Coturnix japonica: one gene and its partners. The main gene of each other region encodes a partner of the protein of the gene in region 4 in a complex. Links are inferred from orthologs where the notes say so. Each region holds a gene or a part of one and is shown on either strand. Other genes may lie near its edges. The genes, in order: INTS12, INTS7, INTS2, INTS4, INTS11, INTS6 and INTS1.

The links.
Region 1: INTS4 (region 4) and INTS12 share a complex: the UniProt entries of both Homo sapiens proteins name them as parts of the integrator complex. The link is inferred for Coturnix japonica from reciprocal best matches to the Homo sapiens genes INTS4 and INTS12.
Region 2: the proteins of INTS4 (region 4) and INTS7 are in contact, whole or in part, in a cryo-EM structure (PDB 8RC4), measured with the Homo sapiens proteins. The link is inferred for Coturnix japonica from reciprocal best matches to the Homo sapiens genes INTS4 and INTS7. Residues at the interface, in NP_291025.3 of Homo sapiens: Glu536, Met539, Asp540, Arg571, His572, Ala574, Tyr575, Asp578, Ser579, Ser610, Phe613, Arg620, Leu624, Leu627, Gly631, Glu634, Leu635, Phe638, Arg641, Asp642, Arg645, Leu646, Glu648, Leu649, Gln650, Lys677, Leu678, Trp679, Asn680, Val681; in NP_056249.1 of Homo sapiens: Lys137, Asn138, His140, His141, Arg144, Gln145, Gly175, His205, His206, Asp207, Ala208, Ser244, Ser245, Leu246, Val247, Lys282, Thr283, Pro284, His285, Thr286, Thr321, Ile322, Lys325, His326, Gly686, Tyr689, Glu704, Gln707, Gln708, Leu711.
Region 3: INTS4 (region 4) and INTS2 share a complex: the UniProt entries of both Homo sapiens proteins name them as parts of the integrator complex. The link is inferred for Coturnix japonica from reciprocal best matches to the Homo sapiens genes INTS4 and INTS2.
Region 5: the proteins of INTS4 (region 4) and INTS11 are in contact, whole or in part, in a cryo-EM structure (PDB 7BFP), measured with the Homo sapiens proteins. The link is inferred for Coturnix japonica from reciprocal best matches to the Homo sapiens genes INTS4 and INTS11. Residues at the interface, in NP_291025.3 of Homo sapiens: Leu159, Asp161, Thr162, Arg167, Tyr203, Gln207, Asp244, Ser292, Gly294, Trp296, Arg299, Lys323, Met326, Ser327, Asp328; in NP_060341.2 of Homo sapiens: Pro183, Trp191, Lys194, Asp212, Gln288, Gln400, Gln404, Lys462, Met465, Ala466, Leu469.
Region 6: INTS4 (region 4) and INTS6 share a complex: the UniProt entries of both Homo sapiens proteins name them as parts of the integrator complex. The link is inferred for Coturnix japonica from reciprocal best matches to the Homo sapiens genes INTS4 and INTS6.
Region 7: INTS4 (region 4) and INTS1 share a complex: the UniProt entries of both Homo sapiens proteins name them as parts of the integrator complex. The link is inferred for Coturnix japonica from reciprocal best matches to the Homo sapiens genes INTS4 and INTS1.

The regions. Positions count from the first base shown.
Region 1 is NC_029519.1:34,243,870-34,247,880, forward strand, and holds the start of INTS12 (integrator complex subunit 12), read left to right. Parts: upstream 1-1,211; 5' UTR 1,212-1,296; coding exon 1,297-1,423; intron 1,424-2,720; exon of another isoform or gene 2,721-2,837; intron 2,838-3,834; exon of another isoform or gene 3,835-3,939; intron 3,940-4,011. UniProt on the Homo sapiens protein: Component of the integrator complex, a multiprotein complex that terminates RNA polymerase II (Pol II) transcription in the promoter-proximal region of genes.
Region 2 is NC_029518.1:19,466,274-19,469,773, forward strand, and holds part of INTS7 (integrator complex subunit 7), read left to right. Parts: intron 1-1,049; coding exon 1,050-1,153; intron 1,154-1,527; coding exon 1,528-1,596; intron 1,597-2,686; coding exon 2,687-2,819; intron 2,820-3,500. UniProt on the Homo sapiens protein: Component of the integrator complex, a multiprotein complex that terminates RNA polymerase II (Pol II) transcription in the promoter-proximal region of genes.
Region 3 is NC_029534.1:6,219,743-6,223,888, forward strand, and holds the start of INTS2 (integrator complex subunit 2), read left to right. Parts: upstream 1-1,346; 5' UTR 1,347-1,384; coding exon 1,385-1,677; intron 1,678-1,822; coding exon 1,823-1,961; intron 1,962-2,643; coding exon 2,644-2,746; intron 2,747-3,001; coding exon 3,002-3,115; intron 3,116-3,715; coding exon 3,716-3,846; intron 3,847-3,952; coding exon 3,953-4,126; intron 4,127-4,146. UniProt on the Homo sapiens protein: Component of the integrator complex, a multiprotein complex that terminates RNA polymerase II (Pol II) transcription in the promoter-proximal region of genes.
Region 4 is NC_029516.1:172,699,846-172,703,345, forward strand, and holds part of INTS4 (integrator complex subunit 4), read left to right. Parts: intron 1-414; coding exon 415-495; intron 496-2,389; coding exon 2,390-2,520; intron 2,521-3,014; coding exon 3,015-3,074; intron 3,075-3,500. UniProt on the Homo sapiens protein: Component of the integrator complex, a multiprotein complex that terminates RNA polymerase II (Pol II) transcription in the promoter-proximal region of genes.
Region 5 is NC_029536.1:1,973,058-1,977,223, reverse strand, and holds the start of INTS11 (integrator complex subunit 11), read right to left. Parts: upstream 2,801-4,166; 5' UTR 2,711-2,800; coding exon 2,683-2,710; intron 2,602-2,682; coding exon 2,504-2,601; intron 2,028-2,503; coding exon 1,954-2,027; intron 1,783-1,953; coding exon 1,554-1,782; intron 1,451-1,553; coding exon 1,352-1,450; intron 1,254-1,351; coding exon 1,219-1,253; intron 608-1,218; coding exon 469-607; intron 341-468; coding exon 276-340; intron 1-275. Other genes in the region: CPTP (ceramide-1-phosphate transfer protein), read left to right, coding at 2,843-2,964, 3,505-4,027.
Region 6 is NC_029516.1:152,175,915-152,179,866, forward strand, and holds the start of INTS6 (integrator complex subunit 6), read right to left. Parts: upstream 2,801-3,952; 5' UTR 2,403-2,800; coding exon 2,292-2,402; intron 2,091-2,291; coding exon 2,013-2,090; intron 1,400-2,012; coding exon 1,250-1,399; intron 1-1,249. UniProt on the Homo sapiens protein: Component of the integrator complex, a multiprotein complex that terminates RNA polymerase II (Pol II) transcription in the promoter-proximal region of genes.
Region 7 is NC_029529.1:2,677,159-2,681,377, reverse strand, and holds the start of INTS1 (integrator complex subunit 1), read left to right. Parts: upstream 1-1,419; 5' UTR 1,420-1,492; coding exon 1,493-1,928; intron 1,929-2,506; coding exon 2,507-2,703; intron 2,704-2,956; coding exon 2,957-3,094; intron 3,095-3,183; coding exon 3,184-3,343; intron 3,344-3,462; coding exon 3,463-3,568; intron 3,569-3,822; coding exon 3,823-4,009; intron 4,010-4,109; coding exon 4,110-4,219. Other genes in the region: lysosomal alpha-glucosidase, read left to right, coding at 147-209. UniProt on the Homo sapiens protein: Component of the integrator complex, a multiprotein complex that terminates RNA polymerase II (Pol II) transcription in the promoter-proximal region of genes.

The DNA of each region.
Region 1 (4,011 bases), on a different chromosome or scaffold from region 4:
TATCAGCCTGATTTGTTTTTCCTTCCACTTTGCCAGATCAGTCCTAGGTATAAATGACAATAGCCACCCTCTTCTTCCATCTATCCATTCCTTAAAGCCCCATTTAACTTGCTGCTTTTTCTCCAGCTACACAATATACTTTTTTTTTTTTTCCACATAAGATATTTCAGATGGCCAAAAAGTAGCAATTAAGTTAACTTTGTTCACAGCTATGTAATTTCAAAAGCCAAATGGCAACCTGAATAAGTCAAGTCTAGACTTGGTTTCACCACAACCGCAGAGCTCGCAACACATGGAGTAAACACATAAGAAATACTAATCTCTTACTAGACATCACAAACCTCTTTGTCACAAAAAGATCATTCACTGACTACTCCAAACACTTATCTAGGAAATTGTCTTCTCCATTCTCAGACAGACAGTGAACAAATGACACACCACCTGCTTCTGAAATCCAGTCAGTGCAGCAAGATTTGGCTCAACTGTATTAATATTAGCCTCCCACAGGACATAAAGCAAAATAAAGCTATCTGGGACCAGTCTATAGATGACTTGTGTTTCCTTAAATTATTTCTTGTGAGAATATACTCATGGCCTTCTCTCACTTCAGAGAGCTGTACTCTCACACTGCCACATCACACTCCTCTTCCATATTTTGCTTTAAAAATTTCCTCCTGACAGCTTGTTTCCTTCCACAGAGATATTCAAGACCTGTCTGGACACCAATCTGTGCAGTTTATTGTAGGGAACCTACTTAGCAGAGGGTTGGACTTGATGGTCTCTTGAGGTCTCCTCCAAACGCTGCTGTTCTGTGATAATAAAGAATGGAACTAACAAAAACATTGTGCACCCATTTAATCACAACACCTTTCCTGGCACTCGTCCTTCTCTGCTTAGCCTGCATTCTGTGAGGGTTTCTATCCTACACTGGCCTTATTAATAGTAACCACTGCTAAAAGAAGGGAAGGGAGAAATCAGCTGAACATAAATAATGAACACCACAGGTTTTGCAACATCACTTAAAGATAAATAACACGGTTTGCCTTCGGTGTGAGCCCGTGTGAGGAAGCAGCACCGAGGGGCGAACCCCCAAGGCCGCCGATCCCGCGCTCTCCCTCACACACCTCCCGCCCCGCCCACCGCCGCGCGGGCCGATAAACAGCGCCCGGTCTCCACCAGCGCTGATCGATCGAGATCCATTTCTCCCTCCCTCGGTCGCTCCTCACCACTTACCCGACCCCGCGCACGATACGTCCCGGCCGCTTCCTCCCCGGCTCCGCCTCTTACCGTGTGCCCATGCGCGTCCCGCCCGGCTCCGCCCCAGCCGCGCAGCGCTCCGCCCTCCCGCCCGCGGAGCGAGCCGGAACGGGGGCTGTGTACCGGCTGAGGGCTCTGAGCGGCGGGTATTACCGTCTCTCCTCAGGTGAGAGCGTGGCGGGAGCTTCGGGGGGTGTCGCGGTGTCGTCCCCGGCCCTGAGGGTGGGCGTTGTGGGCGCCTGTGTGTCCTCCCACGGCGGAGCTGGAAGCGGCCGTACCCGCTGTCTGAGTGGGGCCGGCGGGTGGCCCCGGTGTGAGTTAATATGTGGTACAACGGGAACAGGGCTCAGTTAAACAGGCAGCTGTGGTGTGAGGAGGAGGTGGGCTGGGGGTGAGGTGAGGGGGAGGAAAGATAAAAGGATAATAGTTACAACTATAAGTACGTATATAAGACTGTGTGTGTATATATATATGTATGTAAAAAAACAAGCAATGCACAAACAAATTGCTCACCACGTACCAATCGATGCTGTGCTAGTTTCCAAGCAGCAGCAGCAAGCCTGAAGAACTCCCACCTTTTTCAAACTTGCCTGCTGTGGAATATCCATTTGGGTCATTTGAGGTCGGCTGTTCTGGTTCTGTCCCCTTCCAGCTCCCTCTAAAGCTAAAACATAGCATCATATCAGGTACTGTGAAGGAAAATAACTGTTTCCACTGATTCTAAGACAATTAGTTTCCCTCAGAGCTCATCAGTGAGCCCTCTGTTTCTGCAACAAGGAGAAGATGCAGAAGAGGGCTGAAGCATGGGTTGATTGCCTGGTAATCCATTGACCTGGATGGACTGTGTTCTGGTGTACCATTGTGAAGCCCCTTGCTTTTGTCTATGAGAAGTCATGAGGCTGGGAGAAATCACTGGGGGCTAGAAAAAGGCAGACTACATGTCTTACATATCCCTCCTCAAAAGAGGCAGGAAGGACTATCCAGGGAAGTGCAGACTGGTTAGCCTCCCTCCTTGCATCCATGGGAAGGTTATGAAGGGAGCCAGCACAGCATGGGCAGGAGCACGTGTTGACTGGGGATAACCAGCTTGGGAATCTACCAAGGGTCAGTCATGTCTGGTCAACTGGATTATCCTTTATGGCAAAATAACTAGCTCTGAAGTTGAGGGGAGGAGTGGAGAATATCATCTGAGGAGGGTCTTGCTGTGTCCTAAATAGACGCCTTTCTGTATCTAACAGGAGATTATTGATAAAATGAAGCCTGTATTTCCTTTTATGTGAAAGCACAATCTGAAAAGGGAGGATCCAATTTGGAATAAAGAAGTGAAAGGAGACAGTGAGATCCCTGTCTGTGTATGTTTTGAAGGTCCATCTGGATGGTGTCCTCGGAAATCTTGTCTGAATTCATAGCTGATTTTTTTCTTTTTGCTTTGAGCAGGAGGTCTCTTAGAAACAAAATGCCAGTGTATTGTGGTGTAATGCAGCAGGCAGCTCAGCACCACGTAGCCACTTGTTTGCTCTCTGCATGTTGGATGGGGGAGAAAATAAGAAACTTAGAAGTATGAGAACTTCTCTTTTATGGTTAGTATGGTTTACTCGGTAAAGCAAAATCTGCATGTGCAAACAACAAGAAATTCCTTTGCTACTTCCCATTGGCAGGCAGATCACAGAATCACAGAATGGCCTGGGTTGGAAGGGACCTCAAGGATCATGTAGTTCCAACCCCCCTGCCTGGCAGGGCCACCAAACATACACATTTACTAGATCAGGTTGTCCAGGGCCATCCAACCTGGCCTTGAACACCTGCAGGGACAGGGGCATCCACAGCCTTCCTGGGCAGCAGATGTTCAGTCACTTCCAGGAAAGCAGAGGTCATCACACATAACAGTTTCTTGGGAAGGCAAACTCCATCTCTCAGAATGTCATCTGCTCTTCCTCTTCTTGTCTCCCAGTTTTCATTGCTGAGCAGGATACCATATGGTACGAGCCATCCCTCTGGCTGGTCTGGGCCAGCAGTCCTGGTTCTGTCCCCTCACAGCTCCCTGTACTCCTCCAGCCCCCTCCAGGCAGGGCAGCATCAGGAGCTGAGATGTCCTCAGCTCTGCACAGCACTGCTCATCAACAGCTAAAGCATCACTTGTCAGTACTATTTCCATTTTGAAAATAATCAAAAACACAGGACGTGGTGAGTCACCGTGAAGAAAATTAACTATATCCCAGCCAAAACCATGGTATTCTGGTTGTTGGATACTATGTTGTTTATGAGTGATAGAAAGCAGAAAATAGAAGGTGATAGGGTAATGTAGAAATGTTAGATAAGCAAGTTACTGTGATAGATTGAATTATTGATTGGAAATTATGGTATAAAATATGTTGTAGGATAGAATATAAAGTTATGGATAGTCACGTTAGTAATTATAATGGAAGAATTTACTCAGGTCTCCTGGAATTCTTTGAATTTCACATCAAGTTGTCACATAAATAAGAACTGATGAATACAGTTGTTCTGATTAATACAGTTGTCGGGACTGCTAAAGTGCCTGAGTTTTGAAATATTCCTCACAGGCGATAACTGTGAAATTGTTGTCATGAATCAAATCCTCAGTATGATACGAAAGTAAAAACTGAAAATAGAAGCTTTTCCTGCTTTCCTTGATCTGTTTCATCAAGACCTGCATTAAATGTGAGTCATCTGGAATGGGCAGTATTGGTAAATACTTGAAATCTTCCACTGTCACAGTTGTTAGGGAATGGA
Region 2 (3,500 bases), on a different chromosome or scaffold from region 4:
CTTTGCTTCTCAGCAGATACCTCATAGGTTTAGATCAGATGTCAGGGTGAAGTTTTTCACAGAGAGGGGTGAGGCTCTGGCACAGCTGCCCAGAGAGGTTGTGGATGTACCAACCCTGGAGGTGTTCAAAGCCAGGTTGAATGGGGGGGCCCTGGGCTGTCTGAGCTGGTGCTTGATCTAGTGGTTGGCAACCCTGGCTGTGACAGGGGGGTTGGAACTCGATGATCCTCTAGGTCCCTTCCAACCCGAGCTGTTCTGTGGTATCTGGTGAAGGAAATGAAAAGCATCAGTAAGTAGTGGGCCATAGTTTTCCATTATGGCTGAACCAGGCTCTATTTTTTAGCTGTGTGTGCATGATTTTTTGCACATAAATGCATACAGTTTCCTACAATACGCAAGTAGTAACGCACTCAGTAAACTCTAATTTGCATCAAAACCTTTCCACCTTGCTTTTAAGCACCATGGACACTCTGATTATACTAGTTAAAAGGAAAAATACACTCTTAAGTATTGCTTCGTAGCTTTTTGTGGTGACTTGGTAGGGGACAGAGTACTGAGACAGTGCTTCTAAAAGCATGCCACCTATAAGAAGGAATTAGTGGGTCTTTGAAGGACAGAGCAGTTTCATTTCCCCTTTAGGGGAGAATGGAGATAGATAAAATCATAGAATGGTCTTAGCTGGAAGGAACTCATTAAGACAATCCGATTCCAACCCTTCTGGGTAGGGTTGCAACCCAGTAGACCAGGCTGCCTGGAGACCTCTCCAACCCAGGTTGTTCAAGTTAGTTTTGTTTTTAACTCAAAAAAATTGTGCTGGTTTGTTGTTGTTTGTTTGTTTTTTGTTATTGTTATTTGTTTTTTTACAGGAAGAATATCTGTTTAAATCATGGGTAATACTTTGTCACTTAGGTGCTTTTTATCCATGGAAAAAACTTTATATATCCTCAAGAGTATGTTTTATTTCTTCAGTGGTGTAGGTTAGTTTAGTGATTTTCTGGACATGGGCTGTTTTTCTTCTGTTATTTTGACTGGTGACATTGTCTCTGTAGATGAAGTTATCAATGGAGGAATTCCGGAACCTGGCTGTGCGTTATGGAGATCTGTATCAGTCATCTTTTGATGCAGACTCAGCGACTCTAAGGAATGTAGAACTGTATCCTTTTAAAAGCTCAGAATTTGTCCTCTTACAGTTTCATCAAGACAGCACGAAGTTAACGGTCCTTTCTCTAGAGAAAGCTAGCAGAGTCATTTTGAAGCAGTTAACTGCTTAAGAAGGTTGCTTAAAACCTGTTTGGAAATGGACATTGCTGTATTATTGTTCAGAATTACTCCATGAGTAAGTTAGGACTTGAAACTTACAGCAGCATAAAATGGGATTTCCATAGTTGTTCTGTTTACCAAAGGAATAGTGATAGGATTACTTCACAAAAGTTAGAGAAATAAGGAAAAGTGCTACTGAATAGTACTGTGTTTCTTGTTTTAGGAACCAAGTTTGTAAATCTCATAACTCCTTAATATTAATATCAGACAACAGCAGAGTTGCCTGTTGATTTCACATGCAATTGAAGCTCTGATTTTGGATCCAGAATCTGCGAAGTAAGTTTTAGAGTTAAATTTCTGCTCCTTTGCTTGTAGTTTCTTAACACGTGGGACTTTAGGAATTTAGGTAATGTTCAGAGAAGCTTTCCTGTGGCCCCTTACAATTCTGTTCTGGCCAGGCTGGACGACCTGTTGGTGCTGTGCTGTAGCTGACAGGCTAACCTGTACTTCAGGTTCTGCTTTATTTACTTACTATGCTCTTGAGAGCTGTACTCCTCTCATCTTAAATACAGACTTGAATTAAAATAAGAAATAACTTTCAATCTGTTGCCATGTATTTTAATGTTTGCCATTCTGTGTTAACTCTCACACTTGTAAGTGGAAGTAGTAGGTACATGTTAGTTTTCTTTGGAGTGTTGGAAATACACGCATGAGATTAGTGTAAGATTTTTAAGGTAAAATAATCGTTTCTGTCTTTTTTGTGTGTGTAAGCTTGTACATATTAGCAAAATCATGTTGAAGCAGCTGTGAATCAAATCATTCTTTAGAGGTCTGATGCTGTGATTAAAGGGAAGATAAACTCGGCTAAGCATCTTTATAATGTGTGATTCTTGTAACTGGGAATAAAACTGGGCATCCCAAATGTCCATCTACTGTTATGAATTAAGCACTATTTTGAAGATGCCTTAATCACATGTTTTCCAATTGTGTCCTTAAAAAAGTTAGGTTTCTGGGGGGTGAACTGCATTCAGAGCATTAGAGTCTAAGATTCCATGTATATTGTGAACTCTGACAGACACTGCCCATTTTTGTTGAGTTGTGAGACTTTTTTGAAGCATTCTAAGTGCTGCTGGCTGAAATAAAATTCCTCAGGGAATTAAGCACACCCGGTCTCTTAGAGCTGCAGTTGCTTCAACTGGGAAAGGATGGGAATGCAAGTGCTGGATAAGCTGGAGTTGAGAAAGGGCTTAAATGTGCGGATCAAGTCTGACTGGGAAAACAATAAATCAAACGGTTTACTCTGTTTATTTCTTAATGAATTTCAAGTTGTAACAGAGGACGGTCTTGTTGGGCATGTTTCGGAGTGAGCCTCTCGGACTGGGATGAGGAAAGTATTTTAGGCACAGCAGAGTGTTTTATTTTCTAGTTTCCAGGAATACAGTTCAAATGGAGCAGCACATGTTGAGAGTGAATATGAAAGGAGAATGATGTCTGTATTTAATCATGTACTGGAAGAAGTGGAATCCCTCAACAGGAAGTATGCTCCTGTGTCTTACTTGGCAAGTAGTAGCTTTACATATATATTCTGTAGATGAAGGTTCTAAAACCTGAGGAAATCTCAGGTGATCGAGCAACTGAAGAGCACATTTCAGTTATTCAGTGTAAGCTATTAGTGAGACAAGGAACTCAGTTCCTAAGGATATACTCTAATACTTGGAAAAAAAAAAAAAAAAAAAATACTTGGAAAAAAAAAAAAAAAAAAAGGTTTTGCTGAAACATCTCTAGCCTTACTGGCCCGATTAAAAATGTGGGTTTTAAAGTTCCTGGTATTGTGAATGTAGCAGGTGCTGATACAGTATTACTTAGTATTACCTAGTCACTGTCAAATCCCTCACTACGGTCACCTTAAAATACTGAAATACTATTTATCCATGTTGTTGTGGTGCAGGAGTTCCACCTGTGGCACACACAGTGCTGGAGGGTCCAGTGCTAGCCCAGCTTGGGTATCTGAGCTGTTGGCAGTTAGTACTGTGTGGCTGGAGTATAGTGTTTCTCTTATCAATACAGGTCATCGGAAACACAATGTAAAGTGTGCTGAATGCAAACAGGGAGCTGATAAGAGTACTCCTTTACAGTCCTAATCTGGTGTTGTCTCTTTCTGTTAGTGAAAATCATAAAGCTGAAGTGCACATTGGTGGAAACAGGGCAGTTCGCTTGTTAGGACTGGTACCTTCTTGCCT
Region 3 (4,146 bases), on a different chromosome or scaffold from region 4:
TGAATCAGCTGCCTAAATCGTGATACAGCCCCATTCTGTTACCTGGGCCATAACATTCCCCATGAAGCTCTCCAATTGCAAAAGCTGCCAGTTTCCCACATGATCCCCTTCCCTCTCCAGTGCAGTTAAATGATAATTAATTTAATACTGTAATCACTAAAAAAATGATGAGGGCTGTTTCTGAAGCGAGTCAAAGCCGGAGGTGTACGTATCAAAACTGCCAATGCCATAGAGCAACTACTCCATTGAACATACCTTTCCATTAGTTACTTTCATTCTTTTAAGTGCACATAATTGCTGATTTATAAATAAAGCCATTGTGAGCCAATAACTCGGGTTCTTTAGAAAGTGCAATCTTAAATATTTGAAAGCCTCATCTCTGGCTTCTTAAAGTGGTTTTGAGAAAACATGTAGTTCTGGCAGCGCTCTATTGAGTAGATGTGGAATTTCCCCTCCTATGTATCCAATGAATCCAATGGAGCTGAGATCTCCTTCCATTCCAATTGAAAATAGGTATTTAAATTGAGATCAACAGGAATCTGGTCACACAGTAATGGTCATGTAGTAATGTCTGTCTTGTTGCTGCCTGGGTCAGTTCTGAGCACACAGTGTGTCCTGCAGCCACCACTATTTGTCAGCACTGCTTCCCTTCTAAAGCAGCTCTCACGTGTCGATCTTTGTTGTTTACTTAAATAGTTAAAAATGAATCGATATTTCAACCCTCAGCACGTTCCTCCTTAGCTGTCAGCGTGGCCCACATCGCTCTATCGCTATATTTACCTCCAATGGTAATTTTAACTTCACGTGTTGCTATGAAGATGGGCTGCTGTGTTTGTTAACGCTGTGCCATCAATGTAGTTGTGTTATTTTAAAGCTTTCAATGACAGTAAGATGTGTGTTAAAGTCTGATTGCCCAGCTGCTTTGCTGCAGCACTGCAGTGATAGGGGCACGGTGCTGTATCACAGCTCTAACCAACGCCTTCTTCCTGCTTTGAAGGGCTGCGCTTCATCCTTCAGGGGCTGCTGGATTTTAGTCATTCATTGCTGTGTATGGGCTGTATTTAATTTATATGATGGGATATTTACTGCTGCGCTCCTCATGCGCTCTATTAAGGGTTGTTGGTGCAGCGCTGGTCGCTCCCAGGGCAGGTTTGTCTCGGGATGGGGGGGGGAAGGAAAGAAGGTTGATACTTTTTAAAGGCAGAAAAGAATTGCGATGGAATAAATTGCTCATAAAGCCCTGATTAATTGCGTGATCTCCTCCTCCTTGTGGGGAGCAGGGCCTGGTTGCGGCCTACACCCCACGCCCAGCCTGCCCGCCCGCACCGCGTCCGCCCTTAACGTCATCACCGCGCGCCGCAGTGGGCGTGGTGGTGGGGCCGCCATGGCGGAGTGCTCGGGGCTGCAGTCTGTCAGCCCGTTCGCCTTCGAGGCGATGCAGAAGGTGGACGTGGTGCGTCTGGCCGCGCTCAGCGACCCCGAGCTGCGGCTGCTGCTCCCCTGCCTGGTTCGCATGGCCCTGTGCGCCCCCGCGGACCAGAGCCAGAGCTGGGCCCAGGACAAGAAGCTCATCCTGCGGCTCCTCTCGGGGGTGGAGGCCGTCAACTCCATCGTGGCTCTGCTGTCCGTCGACTTCCACGCGCTGGAGCAGGACGCCAGCAAAGAGCAGCAGCTCCGGTAACGGCGGTCACGGGGCCGCTTTCCCACAGCTTTATGTTAATTATGGCTTTGTACCGTACGGTTACGATGCTGTACAAGAAATCCCTGCTGCAATGGCCGTAATTTGAATGAAATGGCATCGCTGTGTTTCGTTGTCCGGCAGGCACAAGTTGGGAGGAGGCAGCGGGGAAAGCGTCCTGGTGTCGCAGCTGCAGCACGGGCTGACGCTGGAGTTCGAGCACAGCGATTCACCCCGACGGCTCCGGCTGGTGCTCAGCGAACTGCTGGCCATCATGAACAAGGTGCGTGTGCGTGTGTGAATGAATGAACATGGTGTCTGTATGTGTCTGTATGTGTCTGTGTGTGTCTGCAGCTCCAGGCAGCGCTGGGTTTCCTGGTAGCGAAGTGAGGAGCCTGCAGGCTGCAGTTACTGCTGCTGTTGTGTCAGTGTGAATCTGGTTCTTATCCGCTTCCCCAAGGTTGAAAGATTCAGTTTGAAGTTTCAGATTTCCTTAGAGGAAACATTTCTTCCTCAGAACAAACACGGATAGTCTTTTCTGATATGACCCAAACTCAGCGTATCTCGTGATCTCTTTATTCAAATGGGATTTTGTGAGCTTTCAGTGCAGAAACCAAACCTGAAAATGAAATTCTGCCTCTTGTTTCTGTCTTATTCACCAGTTTTACTGCAGTGTGGTGTTAACCAACGCATTCCTCTTATTTTTGCTGCCTGCATTTTATTTTCCCTGTGCAAACTTCCTGTATTTCTAGAGTTGTTTTTCAGCTGGAAAGAAACAATAATGCTGGTTTTATTGGAGTACTTCTTGTAAACATTAATTACTTAAACATTCATCTCGACCATTGTGTGATTGGAACTGTCCATTCTGGGTAACTTTGATATGTTGTATCTATTGAAGTCAGTGCTGTGGAAGTCTGATCAGACAAACTTCTGGGTGCTGTTTGCTGATGTGAAATGTCTCGTAGGTGTCAGAATCAAATGGGGAGTTTTTTCTCAAGTCTTCTGAGCTCTTTGAGAGCCCCGTCTACCTGGAGGAGGCAGCGGATGTTCTCTGCATCTTGCAAGCAGGTACAGCGCCCTGTGGTACCATGTTCATTAATGCTGCTTTGCTTTCGTATCTATAACTCCTTAGAAACGTCAAAAAAAAACCAACACAAAAACCTTCTTTCTGAGCTGCTGATTTTACTATTAATCGAGGCTCTCTTTCTCTTTGAAAGGGGAATAAACCACAGACTGACACATTTGTTTACCTTCCTACTTTTGAGCACGTTTGTATTTGTTTTGTAGTGAAACTTTCTAACTGTGAGAACTCTCTTTGTCCAGAGCTGCCATCGCTGTTGCCTATAGTTGATGTAGCCGAAGCGCTGCTGCATGTGAAGAATGGAGCCTGGTTCCTCTGCCTGCTGGTGGCCAATGTTCCTGATAGCTTCAATGAGGGTGAGCTGTGGTTTCTCCTTGTATAACTTACTTTTTCTGGAGATCTGTAATAACGTTGATTCTGGGCTGTTATTTATTGTAGGTATTAGAACTGGGATATTGATGGATCTTTCCTTCTCAGTATGTCCATCCCCCTTTTTACAGCCTAATTGTAGTTATCACTGTGTGAGCATTCCTGTTTTTAGGCCAGTTTTCTAAAGGCTGATTCCAACAGCTGCTATTGGAATTATGAACCTGTTGTAGCCTTGCTGTTAGTACTGCCCCTCAGACTGAGCCATACTACAAGGTGAAACATCTGCAGTGACAATGCCTGCATACTATCTATTACCACACAATAAGGTTTCATTCTCCAGTGCTGCCAGATGCACGGCTTGCATTACGTAGAGTGTAAGCAGTGATTGGGTGATGCATAAATCTGTAAGCATTCTTAGAGAAGAAAGGAAAGACTGTTTCCTTGTTCTTTTTACTCAGTGTTGATTGCTATTTGGCGCAATCCAGCTGATAGATCACAGTGAGCTGAGCAGAACGTTTTGGCTCTGTGTGTTTGTGGCTTTCTATTGGAAAGATGAGGTTAAGTTACACCTCCTGTTGGTTGTTCAGTCTGTAGAGGTTTGATTAAGAACGGAGAACGGCAAGATGAGGAAAGCGTTGGAGGCCGTCGCAGGACAGAAGCGCTGCGTCACCTCTGTAAGATGAACCCTTCCCAGGCTCTGAGGGTGCGAGGCATGGTGGTGAGTCCGACACACATCTGTTGTGAGACAAGATCTGAGGCTTCGTTGGGGTCCTCATTGGAATGTTGCAAACAACAAAGGTGATTAATGGGGACTTTTCATCTAGGTGGAAGAGTGCCATCTACCAGGTCTTGGTGTGGCTTTGACATTGGATCACACCAAAAATGAATCTTCAGATGATGGAGTGAGCGACCTGGTGTGTTTTGTGAGCGGTTTGCTACTAGGAACAAATGCCAAAGTTCGAACTTGGTTTGGAACTTTTATCCGAAATGGCCAACAGGTGAGGCAGTCATTGAGTAA
Region 4 (3,500 bases):
ACAGTTATTGTTTCCAGTATTCCAGTTCCATGGCTGCAGTCTGAGGATGCCCTGCTCTTAGCCTCAAGGATGTGATGATTGGTTATAATTTCTCTGATCACTGACTATATTCTGCATACGGTTATCCTTAAATACTGAAGAATTTGCAGCTTAGCCAGTCTCTCATTCATAGCTTTGTTAACATTATTCCCAATGCTGTGTAGGATGTTTATATAGCAGTGTGTAGTTTGTAAGCTGTGGTTTCCCATACTGTTTAAAAGCAAGTAGAAACCTTTGGCCTGCTCTCTCAGGCAACCTGTTGGCATATAACAGAGAGGGCATGCTCCCAAGCCCTGTTTATCTTGCACAGTGTTAGAGCGCTCAGACAGAAATGGTTATTTATCATCCCTTTTTTTTAATGGTTTCCTTCTGCAGGCCTTGCAGGAGAAGCTGTGGAACGTGGCAGCTCCTTTGTACCTGAAACAGAACGCGTTAGCATCTGCTGCAGCAAAACAGGTGAGGCTGAAGCACCTGAAGGCGAGTCCTTGGATTCCAATTTCCATGGCCTTGCAGTACTGATGTGTTTCTGACTTTCTGCTGTAGCCTGTCCAAGCAAATCTTAGTTCCCCAAAGTGAAGCAATTTCTTTCAGCTTCAAAAGATCAAATGAAGTGGAGATTGAGGGAGATTTAGGACTGCAGGAAAAGGGCAAACATCCCATGTATCTTCCAGAATAATAAGAAAGGAGATTGGAGAACAGTGGACTGTTGGCCTCTGGGGAACTCTATGGAGTAAGTCCTCTTAAAAGCCATTTTTGAGCAAATGAAGGTCAAGGAAGTGATTGAGATCAGCCAAAATGCATTTCGAAGGGTGAATTATGCCTGACCAACCTTACTGCTTTCCAAAGTGAGGGCACTGGTGTTGCAGACATAAGACATGTCACAAAGCCTGACTTTTTCAAACCCTTTAACACAATCTCCCATTACTTATTACCAAAATGGCAAGATCCCACATCTGTAAGTGGATCATAACATGGATGGAAGATTGGCCAGACTGCCTGGCTTAAAGCACTGGAAATACTGGCACAGAGAACAGAGTGCCCTTCACAACCCTGTGGATAAAACTGAGTTGAGGAGCTGGTCAGTAGGGGAGATCACATCTAGAGGGGAGTTGTGCTTGTCTCTGTGCAAGGAAGGTACTGCTGAACTGCAGTGAATTGAGCAGGGGACCCTCAGGGTGGCTGAGGAGTGGAGCACTTCTCCTGCAAGAAGAAGCTGAGGGCTCTGGGCTTATTCAGCCTGGAGAAGGTTCTAGGCTGATTTACTGCTCTATGCCACTTCCTTATCTGAGGATATAGATCACATAAAGACAGACTCTTAGATGTGCTGCTGTGGGACAAGAAGTGATGGATACAAATTGGAATACGAGAAATTCTGAGTAAATGTAAGGTAGCAAAAATTGTCGTGATTATTGGTAAGCACTAAAATGGATTTGCCAGACTGTTAGTGGGGAATCTTCATCTTTGGGATTGTTCACAGAACACGTGGCTAACTGGGCTAATTAGGCCTGCCTCGAGGAGGGACAGTGGTAGATGAGCTCCATAAGTCCCACTCAAGCCAGGTTATTCTTGCTCTCTAACATTTGATTGACTGATCCTGGAAAAACAAAGCTAAACACTTCCTTTTTTTTAAATAAAGAAATGAGAAAGCGAGCTTTAAATAATCTGGATTTAGGGTGAAAGCAAGTTTGTGGATCTGCTGGGAAGCCATGCTGACATTTTGAGCCTCCAGTTAATTAAAATGTATTAAGAGGCAGCTACTGCTGTGCATCAAACCCTTCTCTGCTGTTGACATCTTGTCCCTAGAGACAAGTAGATACAAAAGCCTATCAGCTTCTTAAATCTTCTCTAATTGAACTGTCTTTCTTGGGTGCCTTTCTTAGTAGTATGTGAGCCCGCTGGGAAGGCTTATCTGTTTTGATTGTGAATGTAGAACACTTTCCATCAGAGTAAGGTGAGGGGATCTTTATCAAATAGAGTCCTTCCTTCTGTGTGGTTACACTGAATGCAGCAGTGTTCATTTCAGCATTTTTCTTGTCTACTTAAGCCCATCTATTCAGCAGATACAGTGCTATAATAAGTAAAACTGCAGCATGCCGTCTAAGCTTTTAACTGTGTCAAAAATAACGCAGGAGGATGCTCATCTTGTGATGGTTCCCGTCTCTATCTGCAGCATATGAAGCGTTGTTGAATGTGAAGTTGTTTCTGTCTAGTATAGCTCTGAAACAACCTGAGCAGAGCCACTGGGGCTGCTGTGCTGTGCTGCTTGGTTTGTATTCCAGAGCAGCCAGCAGGAGTCGGTGAGTGCTCCAGCCCAGAATGGTTTGTTACCCACGTGTTGTTTGTCTGACAGATCTTGGAAGAAACGTACAAAATGGAGTTCATGTACAGCGGTGTGGAAAGCAGACAAGTGGTCATCATTCACCACATGAGACTGCAAGCAAAAGCCTTACAGCTCATCGTGACTGCACGCACCACCAGAGGGTAAGGGTGGTGCCAAGGGTTACCTGCAAGCTTCGTATCCTCCAGCTGTGTTTTAAGAAGCAGCAAGTCTAAATTAGGCACTTAAAACACCACGATGATAACCATCTGAAGAACAAAGCTGCGTTCTTTCTTCAGTACATATAGGAGAACATAAGTATGTTTGTTGCCATTGATTTGCTGTGTTTTCATAGAGCTCCTTAAGCTCCATCTTTTTTTATAGGTGGAAAGCTTAATGTTTTCTACCAGTGGCTCTGGGAACTTAATGCCTTGTGCAAATGCAAGGGATGTATTGTGGAGGGGGTTACAGGTGTGGAGAAGATGATGACAGTCCATTTTGTCTTTCTCCTGTGGGAAATCCATTTGTGGTCTCAGATTGTCTTTAAGGTCTTACAGTTTCTAGGAGCTTGAACTGGATTTCAAAACTGAAATGTTTGTGGCTGTAGAGCCACTTTTCTTATGTTATTTTTGCATCAAGCAATGTGATCTCATTGCAGAGTGGAACCCCTTTTTGGGATGTGTGAGAAGTTCCTTCAGGAAGTAGATTCCTTTCAGAGGTGAGAAACCCCATTGCTTCTTTCTGCGTCTTTTTGCATTGAAGCTGATGATAGTTCTTCCACATGTAACCTGATAATGAATAATGCCACTGAAATGATCTTTTAAGGCTCTTGTCCCGTGGTATAAAATGAATTCTACATTCTATTCTTCACCTCTGGAGCTAGCATAGTTTTTTTATCTGATTCCAGTTTACTGTTAATATTTCACTATGCAGATGTAAGAATTAATGCTATCTTAGAAATACTGGTAGAGCAAAATCGTTCTGCAGGGAGGTCAGACGATTCACATGGCTGTATGGGGTTACGTTACGTTCTGGAGTGAGTCAGCTGTTTGCTTAGCAGGATGAAAGCGCACAGCATAAAGGATGAGGCGGATACATGTCATCCTTGAGAAGTACCCATCTCTGGAGTTATACAAGGCAGCAG
Region 5 (4,166 bases), on a different chromosome or scaffold from region 4:
GATGCCATTGAACTATTTAATGGACAGCTGGTACTGAGTGCTTGGGGAAGGAGGAGAGAATGATCCTAGAAAGGAACATGTTTAGTTTAGTTTCTTAGATTTAGAAACGCTGATAAATAAACGATACATGGAAAGAATCACTTCTCACATAGCACCATGGGCCAAAGTGCAGAGCAAAACTAAGGAGAGTATTTGTACCAAACAGATAGAAAAGAATCATAGAAACCTTGAGGACATGAAGAGGATGAGGAACATGAACCAGAGACTGCACTCACCAGAACGTTTCCAATAAAATGCAAAGCTCCTGGGCACGACCAAGGGCAAAAACTGGGATAAGAACCTGCAACAGAGCCATGATTTAGGCTGTGAAACCTGAACAGCACATAGAGAGCACTGCAGCATTACCACTGCTGAATAAGAGCTTCGTAGAGAGCAAAGAACACATCAGTGATCATCAGAGTGCCGTACCTTCCCTCCTCGTTCTACAGTCTCATGCACTTTCTTCAGGAAGTCTCTTTCTCTGCAGCGTTTGGAGTCTCTGATAGTTGTGGCATAGGTAGATTCTGTTATTAATAAATCGGGGCGACACTTATCAATCCAGGCAGCACTGAAACAAAAGGATTTCTTTTTAAAGTCATCAAATTAAGAGCCAGTATCCATCACTTCTCTGCAGGTCTCGGCTGCAGAAGGTCACTATCTCTGTGTGGAGGTAGGAATTAACCCAGCTCAGAATAGAGACCAACTCAGTGGACTTTGAAAAGCAGCTTTTCAGTCTGTTATTTGTTTAAAATACTTTCTTCAATGCTTTGTAAGCATCACAAACATTAAAAACCTCTCATATATGCCAGTAAAAAAGTAAAGCAGCGTTAAAGGTGGTGACTGGCACTCTCTTAAAAAGCAAATGCTTGTGGAAGATACCACAACAATGAAGCATTTCAAACACCTAAATCCAATTACCACGCAGCCATACAAATGGATTAATATGAGTACAGAGAAGATTATGTTAAGGTCTGTTCTGAGGACTCGATTTACCTCTGATCCTCCTCAAAATTCACACTTGCATTTATCTTTGCTGGAAAGACATCATTAAGCATCCCAGTCTCCCATCAAAGAACAAAGAACCAATGCTGGTAAGCCTTGGTATATGAGCAGAAGCTGTGGTAAAATCACCCTGCTTGAAATAGATACAATTCAGAGGAGCCCAGCCTTCCTACTTACCCTAAATGTCTGTCTGGTGTCATGTTATAATCACCCTAAGGGAGGAAGGGAAATCCGTTTATTTTCTCAAGCTAATGGAACAGGCTATTAGAAGGAAACATAAGCATATGTAACTACTGCTGTGCATACTTACAGTGTACACAACTGACTCACATCCAACCTTGATTTGGAACATGGCTGCTCCCAGCACGTGGCCTGCATAGTATGCCTTGATCTCCAGCTCTTCATCCACCTGAACACAAGCAAACACCATGGTAAGCACTTCACAAACAGAAAACTGCTCTGCCTTCCTCAACAGTTCAGTAGCTCCCATCCAAGCAGAAGCATTCATTTACCTGAACTGTCTGGTGAAGATGCACAGCCACCACCTTTTTCATACAGTCTTTAATCATTTGGGACGTGAAGAAGTTTGTTTCTCCTTTTTTATCTACAGTTATTTTCCTGTAGTCCTCCAGGAGGATGGGACAGATGGCCTTGGTAGGATGCGTCATATAAATGGGCCCATCGTAGCCGACCATCTCACTGAAATAGGGGAGGGCTCCACAATGGTCCAGATGGAAGTGGCTGCGAAAGAGACAGAAAGGATGAAGACATTACACAGCAGCTTAGATAACCTGGTTCTCACAGCTTGATTCACCTCTTCAAAGCACTCCACAAAATAGAACTTTTCCCTTTAGAAACAAAACTTGCTTTGATTTCCCATCTCTGTTGTGATCAGGAAGGAAGCTTTCTTACCTGATGATCACACAGTCTAGAAAGTCAGTCAGCCTCCCATTCTGAGTAATGTAGGAAAAGTCAGGAAAGCGTCTCTGCAAAGAGGTGGAAAACGGGTTAACAACCTCAAACAAAGCTACTTAGTACCATGTCATTAACTATATGGACCAGCAGCACGAACCACCTGCTACACTGGACACTGTAAACCCATCTCAAGGCAAAACTGGGGAGACTGTGGGAGCAACACAGCAAGAACTACAGGCAACGCAATGGACACCTACATAAAGAGTCAAAAGGATGAGCTGCCCTATAAAGACAGGCTGAGGGAGCAGGGCTTGTTCAGCCTAGAGAAAGATGCAAGGAGAGGCCTTCAACGTTTAAAAGGGGATTATAAAAAGGAGAAGAATCAACTTTTTGCTTGGGTAGATAGCGATAAGGCAGGAGGAATGGCTTTAAGCTTGAGGAGGGAAGCTTTATATCGGATGCTAAGGGGAAGTTCTCCATAGAGAGAGAGGTGCAGGAACAGCTGGGGATTCTATGAGAGAACAACCCAACCGTGTGTCACACTCACATCATCGTTGTATCCCATATGCATCCCACAGTCCAGCATCACATTCTTCCCCGCGATGGACACCAGGATACAGCTTCGCCCCACATCCTGCCCGGCACCTACAGGAACCCAATAGAACACCATAGTGAGGCGACCCAGCCCCTTTCTGAGGCTCCACAACGCTCCGATCCACCACTTACCGAGCGGTGTCACCTTGATTTCAGGCATTTTAAACCTCTTTCAACTCAAAGCTCGGAAGGGAGCAGCCGTTCCTTTAACGGCCATATTGCAACGGCTCGTCACTCTGAGGTAGATCCCGCCCTTCCCTTTAGCGCATGGGAGGCGCCTCCCGCCGACAAGATGGCGGCGGCGCAGGGAGCGTTCAGCCTGAGGGAGGTGATGGCCGCCTTCCAGAGCTGCGTGACGGAGCAGCGCGAGGTGCTGCTCGGCCCGTATCTCCGCGGATGGAGGGGGCTCGTACGGTGAGTTTTCTGGGCTCCCCAGTACAAAAAAAAGACAGGGATCTCTTGGAAAGAGGAGCCACTAAGATGGCTAAGATCTCCCCTGTGAGGAGAGACTTTGGGAACTGGGTCTGTTTAGCCTTGAGAAAAGAAGGCTGAGAGGGGATTAGATCCAGGTTTATAAATACCTGAGGGGTGGGGGACATAGTGGTGAGGCTGGTCTCTTTTTAGTAGTGTGTAGGGATAGGACTAGGGGTAATGGGATGAAATACAGCATAGAAGTTCCTTAATAAGAACTTCTTTACGGTGAGGGTGACGGAGCACTGGAACAGGCTGCACAGAGAGGTGGTGGAGTCTCCTTCTCTGGAGATATTCAAGATCTGCCTGGACACTTTCCTGTGTGACCTGCTGTAGGGAACCTGCTTTAGCAGGGGGGTTGGACTCGATGATCTCTAGAGGTCCCTTCCAACCCCTACAATTCTGTGATTCTGTGATGGGAGGGGAGGTTGCCCCTCGAGGATGCTGCTTTGTGTTATACCGCTCCGTTTATCCCCTTTTCAGCTTCCTCAACGGGCTGGGCGCCATCTTCTCGTTCATCTCTAAGGACGCGGTGACTAAAATCCAGATTATGGAGAGTTATTGCGGCGGGGAGAAGAAGGAGGAATACCGTACAATGCAATCTATGGTGCGCTATGAGCTCAACGGAGGGCTGGTCGACTTGGAACAGCGCTCAGCCCACCCCAATTCAGGCTGTAGGACCGTCCTACGGCTGCACCGGGCATTGCATTGGTTGCAGCTCTTCCTCGAAGGGCTTCGCACCGCCCAGCAGGACGCCAGCACTTCCACCATCTGCACGGACAGCTACAACGCCTCGTTGGCCGCTTACCATCCCTGGATCGTCCGTAAGGCCGCTACCTTGGCCTTTTGTACCCTGCCATCCCGCGATGCCTTCCTAGAGGTGATGAATGTAGGCGGCCCCGAGGAGGCTGTGGAGATGCTGGGTGATGCTCTGCCCCATATCCGAGATGTGTACGGCATCACTGAGGAGCTGTATGCACAGCACCGCCTGCTGGACCTGCCCTGAGTCCATCCCCCAGCTCCTTGTACCCCCATAAAGCTGATGGAGCTCAGTGACTAAAAGAAAATGCACTAAAATACATACATTGCCATATATATAGCATCATCTCAGCACTGCAGGGAGTTTAAGTGTCCACAAGCACACT
Region 6 (3,952 bases), about 21 Mb from region 4:
TTATATGACACGGGTTTCACATATTTCTTCATTATCAATAGAAACAGTAAAGAGCACGTATTCCATGTATGTATCTGCTATGGTAGATGTTTCAAGAAGATTTGCATTGCTAATGTAACAAAGAAAAATGGCAGAAAATGGGAAAGATTAGTACACAGAAGAGGACAGCAGATGGTAATAGACAAGAAAAACTAGCCATGTGTGGAACTAGCTTTTTTTTCTTTGAAGTTTCATCACCAAACTGGCATTCTAAAAATGTTTAGACTCACTTAATCACCTAGTGGGCAAGCCATACAGTGCAACATGAGATAGACCTCCTTCCTAAACAAACATGGCGTGTTATCATAAACCGCACTCAGACGGGGAAAAGGGAGGGAGAAAACAGGGACTTATTTTCACAGCCACATCCCCATGGTAAATACCAAGAGCAGTAACTAATCCTCAGAGAGCAGATGAAACATTACATGAGAAAAGATACGAAAAGGGGAGATTGACTTTAGCACATCCCACGTGAAAGATACAGGGTATACTTTGCCCAGTACTGGTAACATCTTCTATGCAAAACAAATCCAGGGTCTGATCCAGTGCCACAAAGAATTGGGTATGCTTCTTAAAGTGCATATTTTAACCTAGAGTTAAGGGCTTGTAGCAAGTCATACTACTGAGCAAGGGAACACTGGACCTTCCCAGTAGTAGTTCTGCCTTAAAGGGACAGCTGCCATACAAGCATTTGAAAATCAGAGCTTCCTAAGGTTCTACTATAAACATGAATATGAAAAGAGAGGTATTCAGAGAAGTGTTGAAGTAAACTCACTGGAAAATAACGCTTTAAAAGAGATGTGCTCAGCTTAGCACTTTAGGTGCTTTAGTGCTGTCAGACAAAATAGCCCATCTCCCAAATTGTACGTAACTGATCATACAGCACTATATACAGAAATCAATGTTTTGAAGGCCTCATTGGGCTCATCAGTTAAGGTTCTGGAATTTGTCACCAAAAAAAAACACTACAAAGTTTAACTGAGAAGGTCAACTGCAGCTTACATAGTAGTTTAAAAAGAGAGTAATGAGGAGAATAGGAGGTAATAGCTGGGTACAGAACTGTAGTTAGTACCTACACTTCTTCAGACTGTCTGAACTCTGCTTGCTTTTTATGAAGCCCCTGTATTGAGTGCTTCATGAAGACACTACTTTGGGCAACCACGGGAAACGTGTGTTTTATGATTTTTCCACCTATTACCAGTCAACCTACCTGCCCATAGTTGTCTATGCCAGTTACTAATCTATTTAAGTTTAATAAATCAAAAGCTGTTCTTAGGGACTGGCCAAGAGTTGTAAGTCCTTCAGCCTGAAGGTTTTTCAGTTCATTCATGAACGTCGCATGGTTTTCCTTCCAGCCAGCCTGAAAAGAGAAACGCGAGAAGGCTTATTGGTGGAATGAGCTCGGGACGGGAACCTCCTACGGGATCGGGCTTTTCTGTTGGCTACAGCGTCTCCCTTCAACGCTAAACGAACACCTCGGAAGTTACCAGCATTCAGTAGCATTTCGTAGAGCCTGAAAAGACGGACTGAAAGAGCATGAAATGCTCTGCGTTCATCGAGTATTTCTTACAAGGGACGAAGCCACACACACTAAGAATCCTACACACCGGGCTCACGACCCCACAGAGGCGATGCCCAGCGGGTTCACCCCCCATACCCCCCCGCGTCCCGCAGCCCCCGCCCCGGAGGGTTCTCCCCTCCCTCCCCTTCCCCGCCGAACTCTCCTCGGAGTTGCTGTCACTTCTCCCAAGTTGAGCACACCTCCCCCACAGTTCCTGCCGCTCACACACACACACCACACGGGGGATATATAAAAAAAAATGTCGGCCATGTTGATGTCAGCGCCGCCGCCGCCGCTGCCCGAAGCCGTGCGTGCGCGGCGCCGCGCGGCCCGGCCCGACTGAAGGGGCGGTGCGGCGGGGCAGGAAGGAGGGCCGGGGGGCGGCGGTGGAGGGAGGGGGGAGCGGGGTTACCTTGATGGCGTAGGGAGGCTCCTCGAAAGTGACCAGCATGTACCTGTCGCCGCGGCTGGCCGGGTCCCGGGCCCGCAGCTGCGGCGCGGGGACAAAGCGGAGGGTGAGGCGAGAGGAGGTGCCGGATCTCCCCCCTCCAGGCGCGGCACTGCCCTCCCCTCCCTCCCCGACCCCCCTCCCGGTCTCTCCCGCAGCCCCCGCGCCCCCGGCCCGCAGCCCCCCGCCGCCCCCTCCCCATCTCGCTCGCTTTCGCCTCCTCTCGCCAGGCAGCGCCGGTACCTTCATGAAAGTCTCTACAGCGCCTTTGGCTATGTCCAGATAGCTGGTGCCGAGGTACGCCCGCTGGTTCATGGAGGCGGACGTGTCTATCAGGAAGAGTAAGATGGGCATAGTGCGGAGGGGCCGGCGGCCGGGCGGCTACATGGACAGCGGGCGGGAGGGAGACGGGAGAGCAGGGGGAGGAGGAGGAGGAGGAGGAGAGGCAGCCGGGGTCGGGAGAGGAGCGAGTGGCTGTGAGTGCTGTGCACGGGAAGGGCCTCCCGCTGCCCCTCTGCCGAGGCGGGGGAAGGGGGCAGCGCTGCCTGCCCTGCCCTCCTTTGTGTGAGGGGCCTGCCCAGCCCGGCACGGGCCGGGTGCTGCGGGAGCGGCGGGGAGGGCTGCGCTGCTGCTAACCTTCCCCCCCGCCACCACCGTCCTCCTCCACCGCCGCCCTCCCTCCCCTCCCCCTGTTGATGTTACTCAGAAGTTTCAGGCGGACCGGCCGCAGCCCGCCCACCCCGCCACTTTCTCTCTCTGACTGAGGCGCTTCCTCGCTCGCCGCCCGCTTTTAAGGGCGCCTGGGCAGGTCGGGACACGCCCCCTTAGGACACGTCCCCGCCCCACGTGACCGCCTCCCGGCCCCGCCATAGGGCTTCGGTAGGCCGCTCATTAGCATATTCAAATCGCCGGGGGAGGGCGGGGTTGGGGGGGATGGAGCCGCTGTGGGAGAGGGTGGGGGGGAGCGGCGCCGCCGCGCATGCGCAGTGGAGGTGGGGTGAGGGGCGGCGGGGTGACTCCATATCAGCCCCGTATCAGCCCACAGCCCCTCGAGGCCGCCGTTCTGCCGTACCCCGTGGCGTTGCTTAGCGCTCATCGCCTCCCGAGGCGTGTAGGGCGGTGCTCTCCTGATTTTGGAGGGCATTGGTGGGGTCCTAAAGGCGTTCAGAGCCACGGACCGCCCCGCTGGCTGTGAGGGGACACCGCGAGGCCGGGCTGGTTGTGTGGTGAATTCCCATAGAGCCGCTCTGCAGTTTCACTTGGTGTGAAAAAAAAAAAAAGATTAAAAAAAAACAAACGGGCTGCCCTTAACTGTGACCTTTTCCCTACGCGCAGGCAGAGATTAACACTGCTGTGTCCCTTTGATCCGTGCTCAGGCACTCCGAATTTACTATAAATCACATCGTTGTGGAGTCTTTCCAGCCAATTAATGCTGAAGATTGAGCTCTCCGTCCTTTGGAGGTTTCTGTTTGTTTTTCCCCACAATTGTGTCTGTGCTGTTCCTGCTCTCCCAGCCTTGGAGCGCTGACTCCAGAGCCATTTCTTAGCATTATCTGTTCAGGAGATTGTGCTGCTTCCTTTCTGGCTGATGTTTTCCCCTGATCCAGCTGATGTGCTCCCACAGCCGTTCTCTAGAAGGTACGAAGCCACTGTACTTCTTAAGATAAAATTGGCAGCGTCCTGGTTTGAATCATTTCATTCTTCCAGGCAACATTTCTGTCTTGTTAGGCAAGAGCTGTTTTGGGCTTCTTTTTTTTTTTTTTTCTTTTTTAAAGACTAATGAAGATTAGCATTTAGTTTCTAGGAAGGTTGGAAAGACAGAGGTGGAATCACATTTTCATTACAGGTGTGTCCTTGTGCCTGTGAATAGATATTTTGCCTTTCCTACTGGCACCTGTGACCTG
Region 7 (4,219 bases), on a different chromosome or scaffold from region 4:
CCTAAGGGTGCCCATCCCTCCTCTCCCAGCCCTCATTGATGGGGGGCAGGAGGGGGAGGATGGTGCTTTTGTGCCATATGTAGGGTTGAGGTCATTGCAATAAGAGCTGGAGCAGCTCAGCCATATTGTCCCCTCATGTCCTGCAGGTCCTCACCGTCAGTGGCCTCGGCCTCGTGCTCAGCCAGGGCTTCTCCCTGCAGTGGCTGTGAGCTGTGTGGGCACAGTGCTGCCCTGCCTTGCCATGACCCAATGTGCACGTTCCTGCTCCAGCCCTCAAGGCCAGGATGGTAACACGGCACCAGGGACTGTCACCTGCTGTCACCCACTGCTGCAAGGGGTGTGGGATGGGGTGGGGGCTCCATGCTACGGCATCAGTGTGGGGTGAGGGCCCCATCTGCAATAAAGGCACGTGGAGAGTTGGGTGTCTGAGTGTCTTTCTGTCAGCACATGTTCTGCAGTTCTCCACCATGCTCCCCAATCCCTTATGTCCCTAAATTCATCCTTATGTCCCACAGTTCACCCTTATATCCCCCAATTCACCCTTATATCCCTCCAGTTCACTCTTATGTCCCCCAATTCACCCCTATGTCCCCCTAGTTCACCCTAATGTCCCCCAGTTCACCCTTATGTCCCCCAGTTCACCCTTATGTCCCCCAATGCACCCTTATATCCCCCCAGTTCACTCTTACGTCCCCCAGTTCACCCTTATATACCACAATTGACCCTTATGTCTCCAAATTCACCCTTATGTCCCACAATTCACCCTTATGTCCCCCAATTCACCCCATGTCCCCCAATTCACCCTTATGTCCCATAATTCACCCTTATATCCCCCAATTCACCCTTATATCCCTCCAGTTCACTCTTATGTCCCCCAGTTCACCCTTATATACCACAATTCACCCTAATGTCCCCCAGTTCACCGTTATATACCACAATTCTCCCTAATGTCCCCCAATTCACCCTTATATACCACAATTCTCCCTAATGTCCCCAAATTCACCCTCATATACCACAATTCACCCCTATGTCCCCCTAGTTCACCCTTATATACCACAATTGACCCTTATGTCTCCAAATTCACCCTTATGTCCCACAATTCACCCTTATATCCCCAATTCACCCTCATATACCACAATTCACCCTTATGTCCCCCAATTCACCCCATGTCCCCCAATTCACCCTTATGTCCCATAATTCACCCTTATACCCCCAATTCCCCTTTATTCTTCACCACGTCCCCCTGTTCCCCACCCCCTCCATCTCCCCCCGTGCTGCAGTTCCACTTCATCCCGCAGGGCGGCGCCTCACACAGTCCCCCACCCCCGCCACTCCGCGACCTCCCACCACCAGGGGGCGCCATGTCACACCCAGTGAGGGGCCGCTCTGATACCGGCAGCGGTAGAGCTCACCTCGCTTCCGCCAGGGGGAACCTTCCGTTTCCGTGTGTGTGGGCGTTGTGCCGGTGTCGGTGCTGCCGCTGGGCGGTGCCATGAACCGACCCAAGGCCGCTGCCGTCCGGCGGCCCAGCGCCGCCCCCAAGCCGTCCGGTGAGTGCGAGACCGCGCCCGAGAGGCCGAGCCGGGGGCTGCCCCGTTTACCATCTCGGTCCCCATCACGGTTGTCGTCCGTTGCAGCTCACCCTCCGCCGGGAGATTTCATCGCTCTGGGCTCCAAGGGGCAGGGCGGGGATGGCAAGGCCGCCGTCACTCTGCTGAAGCCGGCACCCTCCGGGCTGCCCTCCGAGCGAAAACGGGACGCGGCCGCCGCTCTGTCGGGCCCCGCGGGGCTGGGCGGGCTGAGCAAGAGGCCCAAGCTGAACAACACGCCGCCGCTCAGCGCGCTGGGACGGCTGGCTGAGGCGGCTGTGGCGGAGAAGCGGGCGATATCACCCTCCATCAAAGAGCCGTCTGTCATCCCCATCGAAGGTAAGAGCAGGGTACAGCCTTGGGGCTCAGCTTACCGGGAGCCTTTCTCTAAGCTCGTGCAGTGCTGCCGTCCTTAAGGCTTTCCCCTGATAGATGTGGGGGCAAAGTCGCAGTTTCATCACCTTTTCTTCCTTGTTCGTGTTGGGTTGTGTTCATCTGGTCTGAAAAACTTAACGGGGAAAACATCACTGAGGGGCTAAAGGTGTGCAAGACCTGCCAGGTGGTTGTAGAGAGCAGTAAGGTCTCCCTCAAGCCTTGTCCAGAGTGAACAATCCAGTTCTCTTAGCCTCTCCCTTGTGTTTCACATCCTTCACAGCTTCCTTGCCCTGTTACATACATACATATTTGTATATTACATACATAGTCTTATGGACATAGTCTTATGGACATAGACATATTAGGGGTCCTGTCACATCCCACCTACAAGGGGGAAGGAAGGGATGGCGCAGTATTCAAGGTGTGGATCCATGTTTTGCTTTCCTGGGGGCTGATCCTTTGCAGCACATCAGGGCAGGTTGATCCTGGCAGGTTGTTTTGCGTGAGGGTATAAACTGGTTCCTGTGTGTTGGTTGTTGCAGTTGTTCCCACGGTGCTGCTGGATGAAATTGAGGCAGCGGAGGCTGAAGGTAACGATGACCGCATTGAGGGGGTGCTGTGTGGAGCGGCCAAGCAGCTGAAAATGAACCGAGCCAAACCTGATCCCACGCTGTACCTGAGCCTCATGTACCTGGCAAAAATCAAACCGAATATATTTGCCACTGAAGGAGTTATCGAGGTGAGGGCTGTTATGTGGGGACTCCTGGGTTTCCTATTATATGTTTCTGAAGTATAATTCTGGGGTTCCTGCCACATCATCACGCACATAGTCGCAGCTGCTGTCTGGCCAGAACACAGCTCACATGCCTTTGTAGATGCTGCACTTCTGTGGCAAGTTACTGAGATTTGTAGCTCTTTTTCTAAAGCTTTTCTATATGATTTTGGGGGTTTGTAATTTAATTCCTTTTTTTTCTCTTTATATAATCTTCCAGGCGTTGTGTAGCCTGCTCCGAAGAGATGCCTCTATTAATTTCAAAGCTAAAGGGAATAGCCTTGTGTCTGTCTTGGCCTGCAACCTTCTCATGGCAGCTTATGAAGAGGATGAGAACTGGCCGGAGATCTTTGTCAAGGTTGTTGAACAGAGGATGCTTCTGCTGAGCTGTGGCAGTGCTGGGCAAGTTGTATGTGGTTTGCATTCCTGCTGCTTTCTTTCCTGTAGGTTTACATTGAGGACTCCCTTGGAGAGCGCATCTGGGTGGACAGCCCTCACTGCAAGACATTTGTGGATAACATCCAAACAGCTTTTAACACAAAGATGCCTCCTAAGAGCATGCTCTTGCATGGGGAAGTTGGTCGTAGTGGTGGGGACATTAGTGCTGGTAAGTGGATGTCTTAGAAACAGTGGCAAGGGCTTAAAGGCAGATGTGAACAGTGTGTTACTTGATGGAGTCCTCTAGAGCAGGTCTTGGATTTCTTTCTTTGTGCTCATCTCTTGTAGGAAGTAGCCCACACCCTTCCATGACAGAGGAGGAAGACAGCCAGAGCGAGCTGCTGATTGCAGAGGAGAAAATGAGCCCAGAACAGGAGGGCCAGCTCATGCCCAGGTAAAGTGCTTTCCTTTCCATGTAACAGATCTGTCTGTGCTCACCCACTCCTGAAGTGCTGTGGCAGAGATCTCCCTCTCTGCAGGAGCTGTCCCATAACACTTGCTAGAGAACACTGAGTATCAGGAGAAATGAGTAGATTTGTTTTTGTAGTCTTTATTGTGAACAAGAAAGAATGCTGATCTCTGGACACAGTGAAGCATGCCAGAGCCGGCTTGGGAGGAAGTGAATAAAATGCAGTTTGTATGGCCCAGGTATGATGACCTTGCAGAGAGTGTGGAGGAGTATGTTCTGGACATGCTGCGGGATCAACTCAACCGGCGCCAGCCCATGGATAACGTGTCCAGAAACCTCCTTCGTCTGCTGACAGCAACTTGTGGCTACAAAGAGGTGCGACAGATGGCTGTGCAAAGGCTGGAAATGTGGCTGCAGAATCCAAAGGTAAGGATGGAGGCTGCTGGACTTGAAATTCAGCCAGGAAGGCGAGTTACATTTCTGATCTGTGTTGGCCAGTGGCTGCAGTTTTCCTGTTCTTCTGCAGTTGACCAAACCAGCGCAGGACTTGCTGATGTCTGTTTGTATGAACTGCAACACTCACAGCTCAGAAGACATGGAAGTTATCTCCAACCTGATCAAAATTCGTCTCAAGCC